Linked DNA regions of Sus scrofa. The protein of the gene in region 2 binds, or shares a complex with, the protein of the main gene of each other region. Links are inferred from orthologs where the notes say so. Each region holds a gene or a part of one and is shown on either strand. Other genes may lie near its edges. The genes, in order: LDLRAP1, AP2B1 and ARRB1.

Evidence for each region.
Region 1: the proteins of AP2B1 (region 2) and LDLRAP1 are in contact, whole or in part, in a crystal structure (PDB 2G30), measured with the Homo sapiens proteins. The link is inferred for Sus scrofa from reciprocal best matches to the Homo sapiens genes AP2B1 and LDLRAP1. Residues at the interface, in NP_001273.1 of Homo sapiens: Arg834, Gln835, Phe837, Leu838, Trp841, Glu849, Gln851, Ile876, Ala877, Arg879, Val881, Glu882, Gln884, Met886, Tyr888, Glu902, Arg904, Ser915; in NP_056442.2 of Homo sapiens: Asp253, Leu255, Asp256, Ala258, Phe259, Ser260, Leu262, Ala263, Gln264, Arg266, Thr267.
Region 3: the proteins of AP2B1 (region 2) and ARRB1 are in contact, whole or in part, in a crystal structure (PDB 2IV8), measured with the Homo sapiens proteins. The link is inferred for Sus scrofa from reciprocal best matches to the Homo sapiens genes AP2B1 and ARRB1. Residues at the interface, in NP_001273.1 of Homo sapiens: Arg834, Gln835, Phe837, Leu838, Trp841, Lys842, Asn846, Glu849, Ile876, Ala877, Arg879, Val881, Glu882, Gln884, Tyr888, Glu902, Arg904; in NP_004032.2 of Homo sapiens: Asp384, Asp385, Val387, Phe388, Glu389, Phe391, Ala392, Arg393, Arg395, Leu396.

What each region holds. Positions count from the first base shown.
Region 1 is NC_010448.4:83,029,231-83,033,639, reverse strand, and holds the start of LDLRAP1 (low density lipoprotein receptor adapter protein 1), read right to left. Parts: upstream 3,012-4,409; 5' UTR 2,895-3,011; coding exon 2,807-2,894; intron 1-2,806. UniProt on the Homo sapiens protein: Adapter protein (clathrin-associated sorting protein (CLASP)) required for efficient endocytosis of the LDL receptor (LDLR) in polarized cells such as hepatocytes and lymphocytes, but not in non-polarized cells (fibroblasts).
Region 2 is NC_010454.4:39,906,129-39,910,027, forward strand, and holds part of AP2B1 (AP-2 complex subunit beta), read right to left. Parts: intron 1,103-3,899; coding exon 967-1,102; intron 1-966. UniProt on the Homo sapiens protein: Component of the adaptor protein complex 2 (AP-2). Adaptor protein complexes function in protein transport via transport vesicles in different membrane traffic pathways.
Region 3 is NC_010451.4:9,540,066-9,543,964, reverse strand, and holds part of ARRB1 (beta-arrestin-1), read left to right. Parts: intron 1-2,333; coding exon 2,334-2,378; intron 2,379-3,134; coding exon 3,135-3,331; intron 3,332-3,899. UniProt on the Homo sapiens protein: Functions in regulating agonist-mediated G-protein coupled receptor (GPCR) signaling by mediating both receptor desensitization and resensitization processes.

The DNA.
Region 1 (4,409 bases), on a different chromosome or scaffold from region 2:
GGAGTTTTCTGACAACCCATAGAGGAGCCCGAGGGTCAGAGGGACTCCTCTCGGAAATAAAGGTACGGAGGGACCAGGGTGAGCCACCCTTCCAGGCAGCTGGAAGAAAGGAAAGCTCTAGGCAGGGAGGGAGACAAAATATTTATGGCCCCCAAAGAGACAGGGGTGGAGGGAACCATGCATGGGAGAGGGAGTGAGCGCTCCTTCAAAGTCAGGACTAACTGGGAGACAGGGGATAATGAGGTTCAGTGCAAAGAAGACTATCTACTGCTGGCTTTGCATTGGGACCTCAGGCAAGGCCTTCTCTGGGCTTCAGTTTCTCTGCAAATAAAACAATAATCAAGTTAATCCCAGCTGAGGGCCTGGAGGGGTGAGGAGCAAGTCACAGCTGATAGCAGGTGTCAAGTCTAACCTTAACACTTCTGGCTTCAGTTTGGCCCCAAAACTCAACAACAGGGCTCATACCTTGAGGGATGGGTCCAAGGCCTGGCTGAGACACCACCGCAGGCCAGGCTGCTCCAGCACTCCCACCCCAGACACACCCCACAGTTTCCAGCTCTACCTGTGGCCACTGCCAACCTCAGGGGCCACCAGCCCTGCCCCAGTTGCTTCCATGGCCAGAGTCCATGTGGCAACACTGATAAGACCCCTGCAGGGATTCAGAGCTAGCTCTTGGAAACTCCATGCTGGGGCCAATGACCCTACTTTCCTGAGCCTCAGGCTCCTTTATCTGTAAAATGAGTCTGATAAGAACCCCTGCTCTGTCACCTCACAGGAGCAAATGCGATAATGGAAGCAAAAACACTGTGGAAAAGGTAGAGTGACAAAAGCAGTAGTTACCATTTATTGAACTCTTTCTCTATGCCAGGCAAAACACGATTTAACTCCCAACAACAACGAAATCTGAGGCAGCTACTACTGTTATTGACAAGTGAGAAAACTGACTTAATAATGAGGGACAGGTGGGGATCTGCCCCAGCTCTTTCCAGTTCCAGAAGGCTCCAGGATAACACTCTGATTTGGGGGGGGGGGCTACCTAAGAGAAGGGGGGCTCTCCTCTCCTTTTCTCTGAAGATGGAGGCAGGCTCTGAGCCCCCAGAACTCGTTCCGCTACATTAAGAGTTACGCTGAATGTCCACATGACAGGCAGGGGGAAGGGGAGTGAGGGGGAAAGAAACCACCAACCAGAAGCATTATCAACAACCTTCACAACACCCCTGCCAGGTGAGAATATTTATCCCGGTTTTGCAAATGAGGAAACTGAGGATCAGAAAGGACAGGTGACTTGCCTGAAACCAGAGAAGGAAGGAAAAACTTTTCCACCATCCAAGGTGGCTACCTCTCCCCTTCCCGGTACTGAGCAAGGCTGCTAAGTATCCTTCCCGTGTCCAGGGCCCACCCCTTCCCTTATCCCTAGGGAAACTGCAGGATTCCCCCATTGGAACAGGCCATCATTCTCAGAAGTCTTGGTCAAATCCCACAAATATTTAAAGGAGCTATTTTGGGAGCCAATAATTGAGGGAGATGGTGCATCCCTGACCTGCTCCAGCCCTGATGGTCTCTGACCCCACCCCCACCAGCAGGCACCAGGCCACATTCCCAGTGCCAGTCTTGGTTTAAAAGGCAGCCACAGCTGGAAGAGCAGAGTGGGCAAGAGGCGGGGCAGGCGGGCTCCCTAGGCCCAGACACGCTGGCACTCCCGGGCCTGGGGAACTCGGGCTCCCCTGGTGGAGCCCTGGAAGGCAAAGAGGGAAGGGGGTGGGGTGTGACTATACTGACAGCAGTTTCCTGGTGCAGGAGAGGCCAGGGGCCAAGGCAGTTGGCAGAGGAGTGGGAGTGTGCAGGAGTCCTGGCTTTGGCTCCACATCTACCAGGATGGCAGGTGTGACCCCAGGCAAGCCACTCCGCTTCTCCTCATGAAAAACGAGGGACTTGGACTGGGTTTCTCAGGCCTCAGGGGAAGGTGCCAGGTGCCAGGTTCCCAGAGAGTAACTGGAGACAGGGAGAGGAGGGGAAGGCGGGCGAGGCTCCTCCCGGGCTCCCAGGGGCCCCTGGGAGAGGTGGCTCTGCCATTCCCCTGGGCGCCCAGGGACTTGGGAAGCTCAAGGGGGAAAGTGGGAGACAAAAGCAGGTTTCAAAAATAGCAGGATCTCAGCCCTGCCACCTGGACCCAACCAGAAGAAGGGACAACGGGGCCTAGATAGCCGGGTGTGCAATATCTTCTGAGACCCCAAGCTGAGCCTCACCCCCAACTTCAAGTAGGTACCTGGGAACCTAGGCTCACACCTGAGTCGGCTTCTGGGCGCCCAGGAGTCAAAAGATGGCCTCGTGGGTAGGACCGGGGTGGGGTGGGGGTTGCCAAGTGGGCTCCTGCCAGTCGCGGACCTCCGGGCTCGAGTGCAGGGGTGCGGGATGGGGGCATTTTCCTAAAAGCCTGCCCCCCCTCCCCCTCCCCCAGGTACCGACGGCGAGCTCCTGCCTCCCCTAGCTGTCCAAGGTGGGGAGACGCTGGGGCAGCGCAAGTTTGTTCTTGTGACCCGCAACCCCCTCACACTGCAGACCTCACCTGGCGACCCCGAGCTCCGGTCTCCTCCCCTCGTCCCCAGCCGCACAGAGTAGGGACAGAAGCGGGAATACAACTTGACCCCTGGCGACCCCTAACCCTGCAGGGCCGGGCAAGGTCGCGCCAGGCCGCGGGGCGCGGGTCAGGCCCTTCCTCTCCCCACGGGGCCCGCAGGAGGCGGGTCCGCGAGCCCCGACCCCCGCCCGGCCCCCGCCCGGCCCGGTTGGACGCGCACACACTCACTCCGGTGCCGGCCACTGCCCCCCCAGCTCTGCTTGGCCAGGCTGGGGCTTCGGATCAGCGCCCGCCCGGCGGACTTGAGCGCGTCCATGGCCGCTCTGGCCGCCGCTGCTGCTGCCACCGCCAAAACTCCGTCAGGGAAAACTTTCCGCCGGGGCCAGGCGGCGCGCGGGCTCCGCGCTCCTCCCCTCCCCGTGCGAGCTCCGCGCCGACGTCCGACGGGGCGGGGCGAGGGCCTGCCCGGCCCCGCCCCTGGCCCTGCCCCTGGCCCCCCCGCCGGGCCTTTGCCCTAGCTCCCCAAAGCTGTCAGACAAGGGCCCCCCCTGAGGCGGGAGCCGACAGTCCTAGGCGCCCCGTCTTTTCTTTCCTCTCCACAACTTCCTTATTTCCCACGGGGAGGAGCTTGAGGGTTGGAGACCCGCCGCACCCGTCGCGGGAGGCAGGCGCTGGCCTAAGATTTCTCGACAGCTGAAAAGTCGTTGAAAACCATTTCACTGATGGGGAGACTGAGGGGCGGAGAGAAGAAGAGGGTGACGCCCACTGCAGTGAGAGGCTTGGAAGGAGAGCTGACCGTGATAGAACTTTGCTGGCAACGGGGCAGGCAGACATATAAAGTTTGCCTTAGCAAGACCCGTTGGGCACTTGACTCACCCAACAGACCCAGCCTCTCCCTGGCACCATCTGGGCACTCTGGGCTGCCCCCTGCCCACCCTACTCCCCAAGTAGTCTCAGAGGTGGTGTGGCCTGAGTCTTATGCTCTGAGGTGTGGGGAAAGGAGCCTTAGCTCTGACGCTGCCTTGCTGTGTGACCTCGGGCAACTCCTTTCCCTCTCTGGGCCTTAATCTTTATCTGTAAAGTGAGATGAGATCCTACCTCTAGCGATTCTTTCAACCTGCCAGACCTTGACCCAGACGGTCCCCTGCTTGCTAGAAGGCACTTCAGTGGGAGTCTGGACTCAGAATTCCTCAAGCACAGATGTTCTAAGTCCAATATTTAGAATTCTCTCTAGGATCTTGTGCCTTCCCATCAGACTTTAGGAAGGGAGTCAAAAGGAGAGCACATATATTCAGACCATAGCCTGACTTCTTCTGTTGGTGAGATGCCACAGGCCTGAGTGTGGTTGTTGCCCGTTTCTACTCTTTTTGCCTCCGTCGCACTTTGTGTCCTTCGAGGGCAGTCAGTTTTTCTGATTCATTTCTGAATCCCAAATGCCTAGGAAGAAGTCCAAGTGGAGTTGGAATATAGTCAGTGTTTATTTTCTCCCTTCTTCCCTCCTTTCCTCCCTCTCTCCAGCTTTTCGCCCCAGCAGGCTGTCTTCTCCTGCCAGGGGCTGCAGTGAGGGCTAAGTAAGTCCGCAGGGCTGAACCCCCAGCTCTCTAACCCCAAGCCAGCTCATTCCTGGGGCAGAGAGAGGATATTCTGAAGCCTGAAGGAAAAGCAGTCACCTGGGGCTGGCTGGTGAAGGGCAGCTGGTGGCGTCCAGCTGGCCTGGGGAACCATATGGGCCCAGTAAACCAGCAAGCCTGGAAACTCTGTGCTGCAATGAAGGCTGTTTACAGGGCCATCCCCTCCTCCCGGAGGTGACTTGCTGGGAGCTGTCAGCCTT
Region 2 (3,899 bases):
TGTCGCAAGCTATGCCACAGCTGTGGCTTGGATTCAATCCCTGGGCTGGGAATTTCCATGTACTGCGGATGTGGCCAAAAAAAAAAAAAAAAAAAAACTAATACGAACAACCTCATTATTATGTTTATCAAATCTAATGATAGGACAAATTTGACTCTTGATATCTAATAATACTAAGAAATTTACTTTCTTCTTCTTCTTTTTTGGCCACACAACAGCAGCAACAAAACCCACTGCAGTGAAAATGCCGTATCTTTAACCCTGCTATGTTGCAAAAGAATTCCAAGGAATTTCTTACTGGTCAGGTTTTAAAGATGTGACAATGGTACTATAGTTACATATGTTTGGGATTTACTGTAAAAGTAACCAGTAGGAAAGGAGGGGAGTCAGGGAAGCATGTATGGAGAGTATAAGTTAAATAAGGCTGGTCACAGGCAGGTGACTATTGAAACTACAAGACTGATACTTAGCAATTTATTATTCTATTCCCTCTACCTGAAGATGCTTGAAAATTTCCATAATGACAAAAAAGTTCATCAACTGTTCTAAGACCTACTGAATAAAACAAAATTAAATAGCAGTTCCTGCAGTTTCCATTTCTTCTGACCCATAAGCATAGTTCTACTGAGATAAAATAGGTAAAGCCCCAAGATACTGATACTACAAAGACATGCTCAACCTTTGTTAGCCTTGGAAGGCAAAGCAGTGAGGTTTCACCTGGTTTTCTTCTCCCATCTGGCAAAAATGCACCGAGCCCTGCTGACAGAAGGCTCACCATATGGTTTGAACTGGATGACAAACGCTGGCACACAGAATGCTTAAAACACGAACATTCCTACTCATTGCCAGTACTTCTCTAGAGGCTCTCTTTTGGAACAGAGGTTGCTTATTTGCAATGCAGACACTTACTATATCAAGAGACATTTCTGAAAAGACACTGCTCTTGAATCCCTGGGAAAGAGTTACCTTCACAAAGCTGTTGACAGCCATGATGGCCATGTCTGGCTGACTCTTGGCATAGTTCATCAAATAGAGATACACAAGCTTCTTTAGTTCCAGGTTGTCAGTCTGCATACAATTCACTACATCTGGAAACAGAGAGCTGAGAAGAGAGAAAGGGAACATGAACAGATGTTTGTGCCAAGCTGTTGGATAGAACACAAAGAAATGGCCTTAATTTTCTTTTTCTTTTTTTTTTTTTGGTCTTTTTTGCCTTTTCTAGGGCCACTCCCGCGGCACATGGAGGTTTCCAGGCTAGGGGTCTAACTGGAGCTGTAGCCACTGGCCTACACCAGAAACACAGAAGCTCGGGATGAGAGCCGAATCTGCAACCTACACCACAGCTCACAGCAACGCCGGATCTCAACCCACTGAGCAAGGCCAGGGACCAAACCTGCAACCTCATGGTTTCTAGTTGGATTCAATAACCACTGAGCCACGGCGGGAACTCCAAAATGGCCTTAATTTATAAAGTGATTTGATGCAAGGACAAATCTCCCTGCAGTGATAATTATCACAGAAATAAATTACTAAAGAAATTATAGGAGTTCTTTTGCGGCTCAGTGGATTAAGGACTCAGCATTATCACTGCAACAGTTTCGGTCACTGCACCATGAAAAAAAAAATAGTAATGGTCTCAAGAAGATGTCTAAAAATAAATTTTAAAGAAAAATTTTACTATGAAAGCAGTATAATGAATCTGATGTATCAATCACCCAGCTACAAGTAATGATACATACCCAATCTTGTTTCATATACAACTCAGTTGAGAGAATCCCCCAGTCCCTACTTCATTTAGTTGCTCTTAACGATTTTTTTTAAAAATCCTAGACAGAGTTCCTGTTGCGGCTCAGCAAGTTAAGAATCCAAAATACTGTCCATGAAGATTCGGGTTTGATCCCTGGCCTTGCTCAGTGGGTTAACAATATAGCATCACTGCAAGCTGCAGTACAGGTCAAAGATGTGGCTCAGACCTTGAGATGCTCTAGCTGTAGTATAAGCTTGCAGCTGCGCTCCAATTTGACCCCTAGCCTGGGAACTTCCATATGCTTACAGGTGTGGCTGTAAAAAGGGGGGAAATAAATCCTAGACATAATATCTCATATATAATATTTTAGTGTGCATCTTTAGGTATCCTTTTTTTGGGGGGCTGTACCTGCAGCACATGGAAGTTCCTAAGCCAGGAATCAAACCCACACCACAGCAGCAACCTGAGCCACTGCAGTGACAAAGCCAGATCCTTAACCTACTGCACTACATGGGAACTCCAGAAATCTTTTTTTTTTTTAAATCACTATATCACACACAAAAACTAGCAGTAATTCTTCATATCAATTCTTTGCAGTTCAAAGCACTACAAGTGTCACTGCAGCAGCTCAGGTGGCTGCTGCGGCATGTGTACGATCCCTCACCCAGGAACTTCTGCATGCCGTGAATGCAGCCAAAAAAAAGGGAAAAATGAGAAAAAGGTTTGCAGCAACCCTACATTGTCAGAAAATGGTTAAATCAATAATTTTTTAACTGATGTATATACTTTTTAAAAATTCATAATGCTACTGCTGCACACTTAATAAACTACAGTGTAAAATCATATAACTTTTATATGCACGAGGAAACCAAAAAATTTGTGGGACTTGCTTTATTGTGACATTTGTTTTAGTACAGTGGTCTGGAACTGAACCCTCGGTATCTCCAAGGTATGCCTACATATAGAAATAGAATTAATTATAAAAAAGAAGATGGAATGCACAGTTAAATAATCCATCCTATCTCCAACGACCCAATGACTTCTGCACTGGAAGGCGAATTATTTGCATGTAGGTACCTGGTGTAATTTCATGCACATGTAGATATTTAACAAACACTATAAACACTTTCCAAAAATGAGTGTTCCTTCCATTTCTTAAGGGAATAGCTCATGTGTAAAACAGTAAAATCAGTAAATAAATGCGAAACATTAACCAAGAGTAAATTAAAGATCTTAAATAATTAATTTCAATAACCTGCACAAGATCAAGAAGATCCTCATCAAGAAGAGTCCAAGTTCTAGAGGTAAAAACTGTTAAGTACCAACCTACAAAGCTAGAAACCTAAACTTTCCAAATGGCAGCTACTAGTCACATAGCCTACTGAGCATTTGCAATGCAGCTGGTCCGAACTGAGATGTGATACATGCATAAAATACACACGGGAAGTTCTCTTGTGGCACAGCAGGTTAAGGACCCAGTGTTGTCACTGCAGTGGTTTGGGTTGCTGCTGTGGTGCAGGTTTGATTCCTGGACCAGGAATTTTTATATGCTGCAGGCACAGCCAACCCCACCCCCACCACAATGAATTCTAAAGACTTCATACAGAAAATACAATGTAAAATATCTCATTCATAGTTTTTGCCTTTTTGGTTTTTTTGTTGTTGTTGCTATTTCTTTGGGCCCCTCCCTTGGCATATGGAGGTTCCCAGGCTAGGGGTCGAATGGGAGCTGTAGCCACCAGCCTACACCAGAGTCACAGCAATGCAGGATCCAAGCCACATCTGCAACCTACACCACAGCTCACGGCAACGCCGGATCGTTAACCCACTGAGCAAGGGCAGGGACCGAACCCGCAACCTCATGGTTCCTAGTCGGATTCGTTAACCACTGCGCCACGACGGGAACTCCTCATTCATAGTTTTTAATACTGGTTTCATGCTGAAATTATACTATTTTGGACATACTAGATTATAGATTATATTACTTATTATAAATTAATGTTATCTGTTTTTTATTTTTTAAATGTGGCTACCAGAGAATTTAAAAATACATATGTGGCTTGCACTGTACTTCTATCAGATAGCCCTCAACTTGAGGGACTTGCAGGGGAGACTGAAATATGGTAACCTGCAAAGTGCTCATCTCAGTTTA
Region 3 (3,899 bases), on a different chromosome or scaffold from region 2:
CCTCTTCCTGCTATTTGAAGATCACAGGCCCAGAATGACCCCTGTCTTACAAATGTGGACGGTGAGGCCCAGAGAGGGTAAAGATTAAAGAGGGACAGGGACAAACCCAAGTGAGACCGAAGAGGGTGACAGGCAGGAGAACGGCCCTGGGAACCTTACGAGGCCCATTCCAGGTGAAGACATTGGGATGTGTCGCCCGGGGGAAAATTCCCAGCAAGCTTGTCATCACATCCCTGGGGGCCGTGCTGGGGCCAAGAGGAGTGGCGTGTGGTCCCAGAGCCCCCCGGGCAGGGGAGGGGGCAGAGAGAGCAGAGTGACAGGCTTTGGCTCCGGGGAGGAAGGCCTTTGTGACCTTGGGGCAGGAGACCCGGGGAGTCCCTGGGGTCCTTGAACAGGCTGCGGGCTCCAGAGTCCTCCAGGCCCCTCTCTTCATGGCCTGGAGCAGGGGGACCCCGCTTTTCCTCTCCAGCCCTAGCAGGTGTCCTCTGAAGCTCACTGCTCCCTCTGCCTGATGCCCCCTTCTCCCTGAACTTGGAGGCAGGAGGCAGGACTCTGTGTTTGCCTGTGGCGGCTCCAAGGCGGGGCTGCCTGCAGGCGGTCTGAAGCCGGGGCCTTTGAGGGTCGTGGTGGGGGCGCAGGGGCCAGGGGAGGGGCAGGAGCAGGAGGGCTCTGGCTCCCCCAATGCACACAGGCACCCTGAGAACGGCTTGACAAGTGTCCACAGGGCACCCGTTTCATGCCAGGCCCTGTGGATCGCAGAGCACGCCAGAGCTGATCAAATGACCCGCAGAGAGAACTTTCTCCCTTACAGCACTGAGCTGGTTAGTTCTTCCCGATGCTTAACTATCCCCCTGGCTGCCCTTCAAACTTGGGGGCAAGTCCAAGCCCCAGCCTCACACACCGGACGTTTAAGGTCTGGGCCAGGCCCTCCTTCCTCCGCCAGCCTCCGGGATCAGCTCTCCAAGCCTCAGAGCAAGGCTCTTGTCGCTGCCACCATGGGCTGGCTGTCCCTTGGTCATCTAACTGATGACCGTTACGCCCTGGCTCCAGCTTCCCTCCCCCAGGGAGCTTCCGGGGGACCCCTTGTTAGGGGAGTGCCCTTGTCAGGGTCCCCCTCCTGGGGTTCCGCTCAGTCCCTGGCGCCCAGGCACAGAGGAAACCCCCCAGGAAAGGAGGGAAGGGGCCCGGCAGGCTCTGGACATGGGGTGGGCGTGCCCTTGACCAGCTGTGCCCTGGACCTGCCCAGCACTGGGGGTGGGGGGGGTGGTGACCAGGAGCTCGCAGGGCCCTCCCTTCCTAATGTGGCCTCTGAGCTTCTCTGAGCGGCTGGCTGTGGGCCAGTGTGGGATGGGGGTGGTGGTGGGTTAGATGGGGGATGACAGGCGAGGGAGTGCCCCCAAACCAGTCTTTCTGGTCTCCTGGGGTTCTGGGCAGAGAAAACATCCTTTGTCTTCAGCTGGATTCTGCCTTCCCAAGGCCAGGCCTTGGGACATTCTCCATGGGGTCACCTGTGCCAGGCACTCTCCCACCCTCTGCACACATTAATTCACGTGGTCCTCACAGGAGCCCTGTGAGGTACGTAGCCCAGAATCAGAAGCCTGATCCCTACATCCCGCATCCAGAATCTTAGAGCGCTGCAACTTGCTCATAGGCTTGATACAGGATTTCACTAGCGGCAAACCTGACCTGAACCGAGGGGAGGCCATTCATGCCTTCGCCTCTCGGTGAACAGATGCCCGTGTCGCTGCAGGGGTGTTAAGGGGTTTGGCACAGAGCCTGCCGAGGACCTTAGAGAATCTGTGGAAGGTGTGGCCGTGGCCTTTCCGCTTGATATTGGGGTTTGGGAGCCAGCATAGTATCTCCCAGATGAAGAAACAGAAGTTATATAACCTTAGAGTTCCCATCATGGCGCGGTGGAAACGAATCCGACTAGGAACCCTGAGGTTGCCGGTTCGATCCCTGGCCTCACTCAGTGGGTTAAGGATCCGGCGTTGCCGTGAGCTGTGGTGTAGGTCGCAGATGCAGCTCGGATCCCGGGCTGCTGTGGCTCTGTGGACCCTTAGGCCTGGGAACCTCCATATGCTGCAGGTACAGCCCTAAAAAGCCAAAAAAAAAAAAAAAAAAAAAGGCAAGTTAAACAACCTGTTGGGTCTGTGAGGCTGGCCTCGGTGGGGGTGGGGGGCATAGTGGACTCGTCTCCTGGGAGCTGCTGGCCTCCGCCTCTTTTTCATGATGCTTTTGGACAGACAGATGGGTGGGTTTGAATTTAACTTGGTCTTTGGGGCTCAGAAGTTTGAGAGGTCAAGTCTGCTCACTCTCTGTTTTTCCTGCAGATGGCGTGGTCCTGGTGGATCCTGAGTATCTCAAGGAGAGGAGAGGTGAGCTGTCCCCCCGCCAGCCTGTCAGGGGGCCTCTCCTCCCCCAGAACCCCCAGTCCCAAGGCCTCCCTGACTCCCAGACAGAACGCTGGCAGGAGGAGAGGCAGCAAGCCGGTCCCTGTCCCTCCCCACTGGCTCTTCCTTTGACAGCTCTAACCAGCGTCAGAGCAGGTGCTCTGGCCTCGTCTGGCTGGGCGGCCGTGGCCACGCCCCCTTTGGGAGACCCTCTTAATGCCCTTGGCATCCACCCACCCATCCATCATGCTGTCGGGAGGCTGGGAATGCAAACAGGGTAGGAGTTAGGCCCTCACTCACTGTCCAGAAGAGAAGACTGATTCCTGGGGGGGGCGAAGGGATGGTCCGAGGTCAGCAGGAAGGCGGGAGGCAGGGGTTGGGCGGGGCAAGCCCTCATGACTTCGGGACACCACCCAGGCTTGTTTTCCCCCGACTCCACTCCCCTGTGCTCCTTCCCGGCCCCTGTGAACCCGTCAGAGCCCCTTCGCCCCCGTGCCCTGGGCTGCTGGGTTGGGAGGGGTGGGGAAAGCTGAACGGACCCAGCAGTCAGCCCCCGCCTCGTCCCAGGGGCCAGGCCCCTGACGGCCCCCCCCCCTCCCTGTCCCAAGGGCAGCGCGCCCTTCCCCGGGGAGGCGCCCAGGGACAGATCCATGCCTCTGGTGGAGCCAGTCCCAGGGCTGGGGCGCGTGTTGGCTGCTCCCCGGCCCCCCGGCCCCTCCTCAGTGTCCCCTGCCCCCGCAGTCTACGTGACGCTGACCTGCGCCTTCCGATACGGCCGGGAGGACCTGGATGTCCTGGGCCTGACCTTTCGCAAGGACCTGTTTGTGGCCAACGTGCAGTCCTTCCCGCCGGCCCCCGAGGACAAGAAGCCCCTGACGCGGCTGCAGGAGCGCCTCATCAAGAAGCTGGGCGAGCACGCCTACCCTTTCACCTTTGAGGTCAGGGACTGCCAGCCCCCCGGGGGCCCCATTCCAGAAGCCTCACCTCTAGCAAGCCCCCTGGGTGGCCCCCCCTCCCAGGGGGCAAACTGGGGCAGCTGCTCCGTGCCACCCAGTCCCCCAGCGTTCGCTGGCCAGGGCGCTGGCACTTAACACCGCCTGGTGAGTGTCTCTTCTCTGGGCACTGCCAGGGGGCGTCACCTTTAACCCCTGGGCTGATCCCCAGACCCTCCTGAGTCCAGGTCATTGGTGGGGGGAAGAGGGGGATGGGCCGTCTCCTCCCTCAGACCTGCTGCCCACGAGCCGGCCCCCACCCAGCTCACAAATGAGGAGGGCGAGATTTCCCTGCTCGGCTCCCTTTCCACTCCAAGAATCTGGAGTTTCAAGTTTCCTGTTTCTCAGACTCTGATTCTTCGATCAGTGAAATCTCCCAGCTTTCTGTGGGGGTCAGAGACAGAAAGAGCCACCCTCTCGTGGTTTCCTGTGGCTGCTGTAACAAACCACTGCAAACCGGGTTGTAATTAAACCTGCAAATTAAAACACAACTGTGGTGGGAGTTCCTCTTGTG